2 linked regions of the Caenorhabditis elegans genome follow. The protein of the gene in region 1 interacts with the protein of each later gene in a pairwise test. Each region holds a gene or a part of one and is shown on either strand. Other genes may lie near its edges. The genes, in order: gkow-1 and T11B7.1.

Region 1 (4,896 bases):
TCAACTTGAGCAAGAAGTACCGTAACCTGATGACCAGAAGTGGCAAGAAGTTGAGCCAATTTTGTATTGAATGAGATATGACTATGGGATAATGTGGGAACATAAAATAATATGTTCAGTGTATAAAATTCATTGATTATTGTGCAAACCAACAAAATTTTGAATAAGAATTGAGTCATTTCATAGAGTTGAGGGGAAGTGAATGACCGGATATGAAGAATAGACTCGGATATAATTACCCGAGATGAACGAGAGAAATGAGAATGACCGAGAATCGGTAGGAAGTCACACTTTTCAATTCAATATAGATAATTAGTTGAAGAAATTGGAGTGAAAGGATGAAAAGTATAGTTTTCTTTATTTGACCTAGTAGTGTGTTTTATTGGTATAGTTGTTATGTTCCAACCTGTTTTTGAAACATGTTACAACTAAAAACAGCATGGTTTTTTATGTCAGATGTTCCAGAGGTTCTAATGGAATGGATAAATGGCGTATCTTCTAGATGTGAAATTTGGATTTTTTGACGAAAATACAGTATAGACGCGACGATGAAACAGGATGTGCGCCTTTGAGAAGTACAGTAGTCTCTACACCTTGCTGCTTTGCATATACTTCGAAAGAAATCGAATAATATTGCAATGCTGAAAGGTGTGAAGACTACTGTACCTCTCATACATATTTTTTGATCGAAAAAATCGTAACATTTGCAAATGATCCGTAACTGGATTAAATTGTCACTGGTTATTGCAAGAGTTCACTATCAAGTTTCAAAAATTCATTGAAGTATAATGAATTAGTATTTTTTCAAAAAAAGTCATCGGGGAATGTACACATTTATTCACTCGTAATCTTCTTCGTGTCGAATCTTAACTGAACAAACATCTTCAAAGTACGCGGTAACCACATCGTTTGTCGCCACAAGACGTGCTGTCACTTTTTCTTTCCGTTTATCTTTATCAAGCATCACAGCTAGTTGGCCGCTTCGTTTACCAGCGACAATCATGAGCTTTTCACCGATTTCTCGAGGAATTACAGTTTCCAACCAGGATTGTCGGATATCTGAAATGATTTATAATCACGGATTTTTGAAATTTGGTAACAAAAACTATGAATTACTGTCAAGTCTATTAAAATTTTCAACATTTCCCACTAAAAGGAGTAAAACTCACTGTAATGAGTGTTCCCTCGATCATCTTCAATCGTTACGTCATTATCTCCAGCAACATCAACTATCCGAACTTTTTGTTCGTATAATGATCCTCGCTTGAAGTCTTCATCAATGAATCTAACAAGAAGATCCGTTCGAGCCCACATTTTATCATTTCTTTCGTATTCAGAGGAATTCTTGTCATGTTTGGAAGACGAAGACTTCGATTTGTAGTCCTTTGAAGATTGAGACGTGGACGTTGATGGTGGTTGAGATTCAAGCTTCTTCCGTTCTGTTTCAAGCCGATCTTTTTCTTTGTCGTATTCGCTTTTATCTGAATAAAACTTGCTTAATATTAAAATAATTGCATCAATGAGATGATTGTTATCAACAAACTGTTAGAACTCAGGAATTGAATTTAAACAGCTCAAAATTCTTACAAAAATCCTAGGATCTAATTTATGTAATTCAAAGGGTTTTCAGAGATTTATTGTACCATTTACAAATGATGTTAAAGCAAAAAAAATCATTTTGAAAGGGAGACTCAACGGTTCAAATAACCTTTTTAAAATCAATTTCAAAACTTGATACAACTTGCTTATTTTCAGGCTGCTAGAAATATGAAAACTCACTTAAACATTTCGAATCTCGTTCATATTCCTTCGCACTAACTGCAACAGCAACTATTTGACTGACTTTCATCGTTTTTCCTCCGATTGCAGTTCTTATAAACAATGAATTTGAGTCATCATCTCTTCCTTCGACTTTTCCATAAACACCTTTATTTCGCCCGTCAACTACTTTTATGAAGCTTCCAACTTTAATTTCTTCTAATTTTTCTTCTTCTGCTTTCGACGATTCTCCTGTATTTTTATTTTTTCCTACTGGATTTTTGGGTGTGGCACCAAGTCCGAGTCCAGGCGGTCGTCGATTCGGAAGTTTCAATGCGACTTTCTGCGGGTTTTTACCAATTCCATCACCATCTTTCCAGTTGCAACCTCTTAAAATTGCAAGTCCGAAGCTTTCGATGGGAATTGCAGAATAATCGGCATCTTCTGTATCACCGCGTCCGTCTTCTACAACAATTTTCTCCCCTTTTCCGCTTTCTTCTTCATTTTCTCCATCAATTCCGTTGGGTAGAACAAGTGCCAACTTGGCACGTTCTTCTTCTGTTAATGTACCAGCTTTCTCCTTTTCAATGAGTTTCTGAGTCCTCCAATCATGTTCTACTACCATTGGAATGACGGCAGCTTCTTTTGGTTTGTCAATATCGCCTCTAAAAAATAAATGAGACGTTTTCAAAAAATTTGATATTTAAATTTAAAAAAATTTAATCGAAACTGTACACCAAATTTTTTGTTGAATTTAAATTGGTTCACAATAATTTACGATTAATTTCTGGAACTTTCATGATATTACTCACTGAACGGTTCCATCCTCAAAATGCATAACTTTTCTTCTCTTGGCCGCTCTTTCCATCTCATTTTTTTCTCGTTCTTCATCACTGTCCAAATCGACTGAAAAATTTTAATTTTAATAATTTTTGAATTACAAAAGAAATACATTACCTTCAATTACAACAGCTTTAGCAGGCGCCTGAACTTTGTTCTCTTCTCGCTTTTTCACGCCAAATGAAATTTTGGGCATAGATCCTGCTGCAGGCTCCGATGTAGTTTGTTCCACCATCTCCTTATAGAAATTTGATGTTTTCAAAACTTGAAAAATTAAAAAACAAAAAAGTAAAAAGATTTTCTAAAAAAGTGTACGAGAGAGGATAGAGTTGACTGATTGAATGCAAGAGACGCAGAGTATTTCGAAAATTTCTGGCTATTAGGGCACAGTTGCAGCCAGCTTCACAGCAATTGTAAAAATCAAAATCGGAGAAGATTATTATTAATATTAATATGGAAACAAAAATGGGGAATTGTAATAAAATAGTTATTCGGATTCTGATTTAAAAACAATTTTGAGTTTTCAGACATTTTAAACATCAGTGAGCTGCCATAATACGCAATGAATACTCAACATCATTTTAAAAGTAATTATATATCAGATATCTGCCAGTGAAGACAAGAATTTTTAAAATTTTCAAATTTCATCCCCATTAAACGAGATAATTGAACAGAAGAACAGAAATATTGCAATCTTGGAAGACAAATGGAATAGAATTTATGGAAGAATGAATTGGAAAATGTTAAATACTCAAAAAAATTATAAAAGTCATGTGAAACAAATATACAAAGAGAGTCATGACAACAAGGACGAGCCGGAGTGCCATCATTAAGAAATTTAATAACGCTTTAAAAATGTTCTCTATTTTTCTTTGAATAAAATTTTTTGAATAAACATAAGATTATTAACAAATACATCAGAAAATTTTCGAAAATCGAGAAAAAAAACAACGAAATGAAAAGAAAATAAAATTGTATACCGTACTGCCGGATACGGTAGTTCATGCAGATCGTGCTAAGACCACTTGCAGCAATTGGAGGGAAATTGTTTTAGGAATCAAGCCTGGTGTTTCTCATCTTCTCACATCTTCTCTCATTCAATAAACTCAATTTTGTTTTATTGAAAATACACATATATTCTTTTTCCCTCTGATTCTCTATAAATTCTCTCAATTTTTAAATATTTCGTGATTTAATTTTTAATTTTCAGGTAAAACCATGAATTCTGAGAAGAAAGGTTTCAATGTCTACCCCAAAAAAGAAAATCTTCAGATAATAAATGCTTCCCAAGTGCCCTCTTCGTAAGTTTAAAAAAAAGTCGCGTTTAATATGCGAATGCTTTCAATTTTAGGCAATCAACCCGGCAGTCTGGTGTGACGACGTTTTATGATAGGGACAGTTACAATGGAAAAACCATCACATACACATCTTCTGCACCAAAGAAAAAAAGAACGCCTCTCAGATTTACGGTATTTTTTTTTGATAAAATTCTTCGGCGCTAATCTTTTCAGTATTCTCCCGAAAGAACGTATTCTGTAAAAAAAGCGAAATCCAGAAAAAGTGATGCAGCTTCTACCAAAGTAACTCCAGCAAGGAATATCAAGGCAATAAAACATTTCAGTCATCTTTAAACAAAAATTATTTTCAGAGACGATTTTCACCTGCTCCAAAAGAGGTCGAGGCGAAACTCCGGAATATCGACAGATCACGTGACAGGGTACTACAAATGTCACTCGACTCGTCAGGGCCCATTCATTACTTTCAAGATTCAAAAGATTTAGAAATTTTATTTGGAACCAAATATCAGGACGAATCAAATGAAAACAATTCCGATGTTGAGGAGATCATCGAAAATAGCAACGCTTGCTACGAAGAAACCATTTCTGAACGAGGAAATGAGTTTGATGATTGTCTTCCAGGATGTTCTAACAGTCATCTTCCAAATTACGATCATGTTGAAAACAATTACCTTCCTACAGCTAATTCCTTCCATTCCGAAGAAAAATTTCCCCAGGATTATACAGCTTGGGATAGCGGTGACAATTTTTATGATGATTTCAGTTTTCTGGAGCAAGTGGGTCATGAAGAAGTTGTTGAAACCTCGTACGGAGACGGCTATCAGGAAGATGAGATTATTGAGAGCACATGTACCTTCACGGAAACAGCCAAAGATTTTCAAGCAGCGAACAAGCATCAGACCTTTAGCAAGCAGGAAAATGTGGAAGACACGATTTTCGAAGATATGGATCAATCGGATAATCAGGAGAAAAGTGAACTGCTTGATGAAGTTGAGAATGT
Region 2 (4,487 bases), 1.5 Mb from region 1:
ACATATGTACTTCAAATATAATAATTATTTTACATAAACCATTGTTTTACACTACAAATCCATATTAGCATCCTTCCTATTTTAAAATATTTTTAATGTAAATGTCACAAAGTCAATAGACCGGAGAGATCCTATGTGACTCACAATCAAGCTATCCGATGTTACAAAAATCAAATTGCTTTCAAAGATCTAATGAACAGAAATGTAAACTTTGGCTTGTCAAAAGTCAAAAATTTAGGGCATGTTCATCATCTTCCAGCGCCTTCGGTCAACCTAACAACATTTATGATTGTCTAAAAAATCGATAGCATGGAAAAATGACACCCTCGAGGAACATAAATAAGATAATTGTATCATTAGACGCAGAATAATCTCAAAATGATCCAGACTTTACGAACAGAATAAGAAATCTGATATACCCATCGTCTCAACAATCTTCTATCCATTCCAAGCCATGACAAATTTGAAGCGGCAACAGTGAAAAGTGGCCCACCGCTGGCTAATACGTACGGTTTTATAGCGGGCAAACTGAAGGCCGTCTTAGGTCCATTACCGGCTGTTGGACCGTCATTTGTCCACAGGTTGAGAAAGACTTTCAACCTGTTCGGGCTCGTCCGCAGCTGTTATAATTGTGACATTTTTTATACATAAGTTTGTCTTTGGTTCTTGGAAGGACTTATTGGAAGATTTTATTTCAGAAACAAGAACAGTTGGAACAGTGTAAAGTTAATCAGAATAATCAAGAAAATTTGAAAACAAAGAGAAAGTCGGATAAATGGGAAATCATGATATATCGTAGAGCGAATAACAAGAAAATCGTTGATTTGTGAATAGTTAAAATTTTTTAAAATATTAGTCATTGTAAGAAGGTACATTTAATTTCAATGAAATCTCAATTTTCTGATTCGATGCTATTCCTCTGACGAGCTGTCACCATCTGGTAAATCATCAGAAGCGCTGCTTTCAGAACTTTCATCTGATGAGCCTTCTTCCTCTTGAACTTCTTTTAAAGCTTCTAATTCTTTGAACGCATTCTTCAAATTTCCTCGAGAATTTCTGAGACGTTTTCCAAAATTTCTGACAGTCTTCGCCAAATCCTCAGAAATTTCGTTTTTCGGAATGAAATTCTTTTTCAATTCCATCATCTGCTCGTATTGATGTTCAAGCTTTAATTCTAGAGCATCCTTATCTTCAAGAGCATTTTCGTATGACCAACCAAGATTAGCGATTCTGTAATAATTTTTATGTGTTTTTAAGATCAACAAAATATAAATGTTTCGTCAAAACTTACCTTTTTTTCTGATCGTTAATTTGTCTTTGGAACCACTGAATCTCTTGATCTTTCTTATCGTGCACTTCAAGACTTTCCAAAATCAAACGACACTCCTCTTTATGCAACTGCAGCATCTTACATTCTGGTTCAAGTTTTTGATCGTCTGAAAACTTTTGAAGAATTTCAATAAGTCCCTGCAATGTTGGAGTTGGTGAACGATTCTCTGTTTTGTTTCCAGCTGTGAGCTCTCCAATTTTCGCTGTTTGATTATCAAGATAGTTTTTCAATGTATCGTTTTTTCTGAGCAGTTTCTTGTTTTCTTGAGCAGCCCTGAGCAGTCTGGAAAAAGTAATTACGAAACATAAAATGTTTGTTCTTACACTGCCAAACAGATTACTATATCTCGATGGCAGTGCATGTTATGTTTTCGGTCGACTATACAGATAAACATAGTTACCTTGATTCATAGAGCTCTTGTGTCTTCTTTATATCCATTTTAAGAATTTCAATTTCCTTAGCTTTTTTCGAATTCATTTCAAAATTTCCAACAGCTGACTGTAGTCCTTCACAAGTTAACTGAATATTTTTCAGTTTCTGATCAATACTTAGTTCTTCTTTGAATTGTTTCAACTGTTCGGTGAGCTCATCCAATGTTAGAGGATTCACATTTTTTGAATTCTCGTGATTTTGAATACTTTTCAAGTTTTGAAGTTTTTTGAATTTTTCAATTTGAACTTCAAAATCATTTTGCAAGTCAGCATAGTTGTCTTGCAAATTGGAACATTCATTCTCGAGTGTATAGATTTTTACAGAAAGTGCCTGTCTCATATCATCATACTTAAGCTTCTGACGGCTGAGTGTTGAATCTAACTTCTGGATTCTGAAACAAGTTTAATCTTACAAAAATTACGAAAAAACAGTATACTTACGTTTCCAAATGTTCATCCTGTTTTTCATTGAACTTTTTTTCCAAATCCTTGTAGTTTTTATCTTTTAATTGAATACTTTCAAGCTGTTCTTTAATCATTTGCAAATGAGGAATGGAAAAATTAATAGTTTTACTTTGTTTCTCAACTTGGACATAGCTTATGGTATCATGAAGAATATCAATTATTCCTTGAACTGTAGGCTTAGACGCTGAAATTTAATATACATTCACGAGGAAAAGTATTCAGAGGACTGCGTGACTATCGATGTTTCAGATTTTCAGACGGGATACATAAAACGCAAGTAGAAAAACCCGCATGACGTCACACTTTTTCTTTCATTCTCCGTAATTTTCCAGGAACAAATTGCGAATGGAACCTATCATACACGCGTGCGCGAGGCGATGTGACAGCTTCGATTAATTATACAAAAAAAAACGTCAGAAATAATATCATTCCTGTTATGAAACACTGTGATTTCAAAAATGTTTACCTTCCAATTGTCTTGTTTGCGGTGCTTGACTTTCTCCTTTTGAAACACTTGGTTTGATTCCTGACATTACTCTCTGAAAATCCAAAATCCTTGCACTAAAACAGATTTAAAAAAAAGAAGTTAAATGAAACCGTATTCATATCTTATAATATCATAACTACAATCATTTCCATACAATTCGTGCATTATAAACAAGAAAACAAATGAAAACCCTTCAAAAAACTCGATTAGCTACCGATATCAAGGCACTTTGGATGTAAAAAATAATAAATTAATCAGTCATCTCTTGACGATGACGTATGGGCAAGTCATCTGGATGAAAACTATAAAACAGAACGCTCATGTATATTATCGACTCGAAAAGAAGGTTTCCAAAAATTATCGATTCAATTTAGGTTTAGCAGATCTACGAATATACATTAAAAAATACTTGAGGAAAAGTTACTTAATTAGGGATCCTACAGAACTGACAGACCTAGAATAAAAGTAAAAAAGATTAAAAACGAGAAGAGGGAGGGAGAAAACACCGAATGCAAATGAATGGTATGTTGGAGATTTGTAGTGTTGGAAGAAACAGTGAACCACACTCTCCACGGGCAACGTACAGGGGTCATCTCATCTATTTGTTACGACGTCGAAGAGGCTCGCCACTCTGTAAGTAATATTGATTACTTGGTTTTGTGTATCGCATCCGATATCGGCCGAATGTACAATGAGATTTTTTTTCGAAATACCACTATTTTAGATGTCGCCATAAAAAATGTTTGAAGGTAACATAGATAACATTTTCAGAAGAATTTAAGTTTGAAAACGTGATCAATTAGGTTTTGGGCATCTGGAAATCATATGAAAAGCTAAATTTATACCTGTCGTACGACGACATCAAACGCTGATCCAGTTGATTGTAGTGGTACTGCCACGGATTCTGGCACAAACGAAGACGCGGTTGAGATTCGTGACGACGTTGACATTCTGGATGATGGGCGGGATGAGAGAGCTGGTACATTCGATGACATTGGCACTCGTGGAGAAGTTCGACGAGCCGCCGCTGAGAAGGTTTTTAGTTTCAAGTGAAGTTCTTCAATTGTCTTGGTCTGCTCGGCAATTTGATGACGATACTCCGCGATAAGACCTTCACGATCAGAAATCGTCAGATTTTGAACTCGCATATCCTGTTGAGCATTTGCAAGTTGTTGTCTGAAATAATATTAATATAAATCTATATTTAATTTTCTGATTGTGTGTTACTTTATTTTTTCGATTTTCACATGTCCGGAACATGCTATCAAATACTTTAGTTTAAAATAAAATTTCGTTCTATACACCAATTCATTTAAACGTTAAAAAGATTTAACTCACCTCAGCTTGACTAGCTCGACGTTTGATGTCTTCTGCTGTTGATCTTCTTCAGCAGGATTCTGAAGTTGTGCTTCCAGTTCTGCAATTTTTGCTGTCAGAACTTCGCATTTCTCACGATACTTGTCCATTTGAACGGCGAACTCGTCAGCGTGATCCAATAATCGAGCTTCCGAATCCTTAAGCAATCCATTCTGCTCCGAAACAATGCGAAGTTCTTCTTTTAACTGTTCCAACTCTTCCAGAGACTTCAGATCAGCCGATTCGGATGCCTCGATAAGCTGTTGCCGTAGATTAGAGACAAGATTTTGAAGTTTCACAATAGTATCATTCCTATTTGAAATCTCGATTTCCAATGCCTTCTTTACTTCTTCAATTTCATTTTCATTTTTGTTCCACGCATCATCATCATTCCATCCTGAAGCCGAATTTTCAGCCT

The links.
Region 2: the proteins of gkow-1 (region 1) and T11B7.1 interact in a two-hybrid assay, tested with the Caenorhabditis elegans proteins (2 studies listed by BioGRID).

The regions. Positions count from the first base shown.
Region 1 is NC_003282.8:10,356,083-10,360,978, reverse strand, and holds gkow-1 (G-patch domain and KOW motifs-containing protein homolog 1), read right to left. Parts: upstream 2,838-4,896; 5' UTR 2,834-2,837; coding exon 2,716-2,833; intron 2,665-2,715; coding exon 2,571-2,664; intron 2,424-2,570; coding exon 1,780-2,423; intron 1,482-1,779; coding exon 1,170-1,481; intron 1,060-1,169; coding exon 839-1,059; 3' UTR 760-838; downstream 1-759. Other genes in the region: ugt-59 (glucuronosyltransferase), read right to left, coding at 1-179; R11A8.1 (DH domain-containing protein), read left to right, coding at 3,817-3,899, 3,950-4,067, 4,110-4,202, 4,247-4,896.
Region 2 is NC_003282.8:8,838,997-8,843,483, reverse strand, and holds T11B7.1 (Centrosomal protein of 162 kDa), read right to left. Parts: upstream 2,768-4,487; 5' UTR 2,760-2,767; coding exon 2,693-2,759; intron 2,411-2,692; coding exon 2,203-2,410; intron 2,154-2,202; coding exon 1,731-2,153; intron 1,613-1,730; coding exon 1,292-1,612; intron 1,231-1,291; coding exon 912-1,230; 3' UTR 679-911; downstream 1-678. Other genes in the region: T28C6.11 (uncharacterized protein), read left to right, coding at 3,223-3,346, 3,601-3,821; T28C6.7 (Kinesin motor domain-containing protein), read right to left, coding at 3,312-3,344, 3,559-3,889, 4,052-4,487.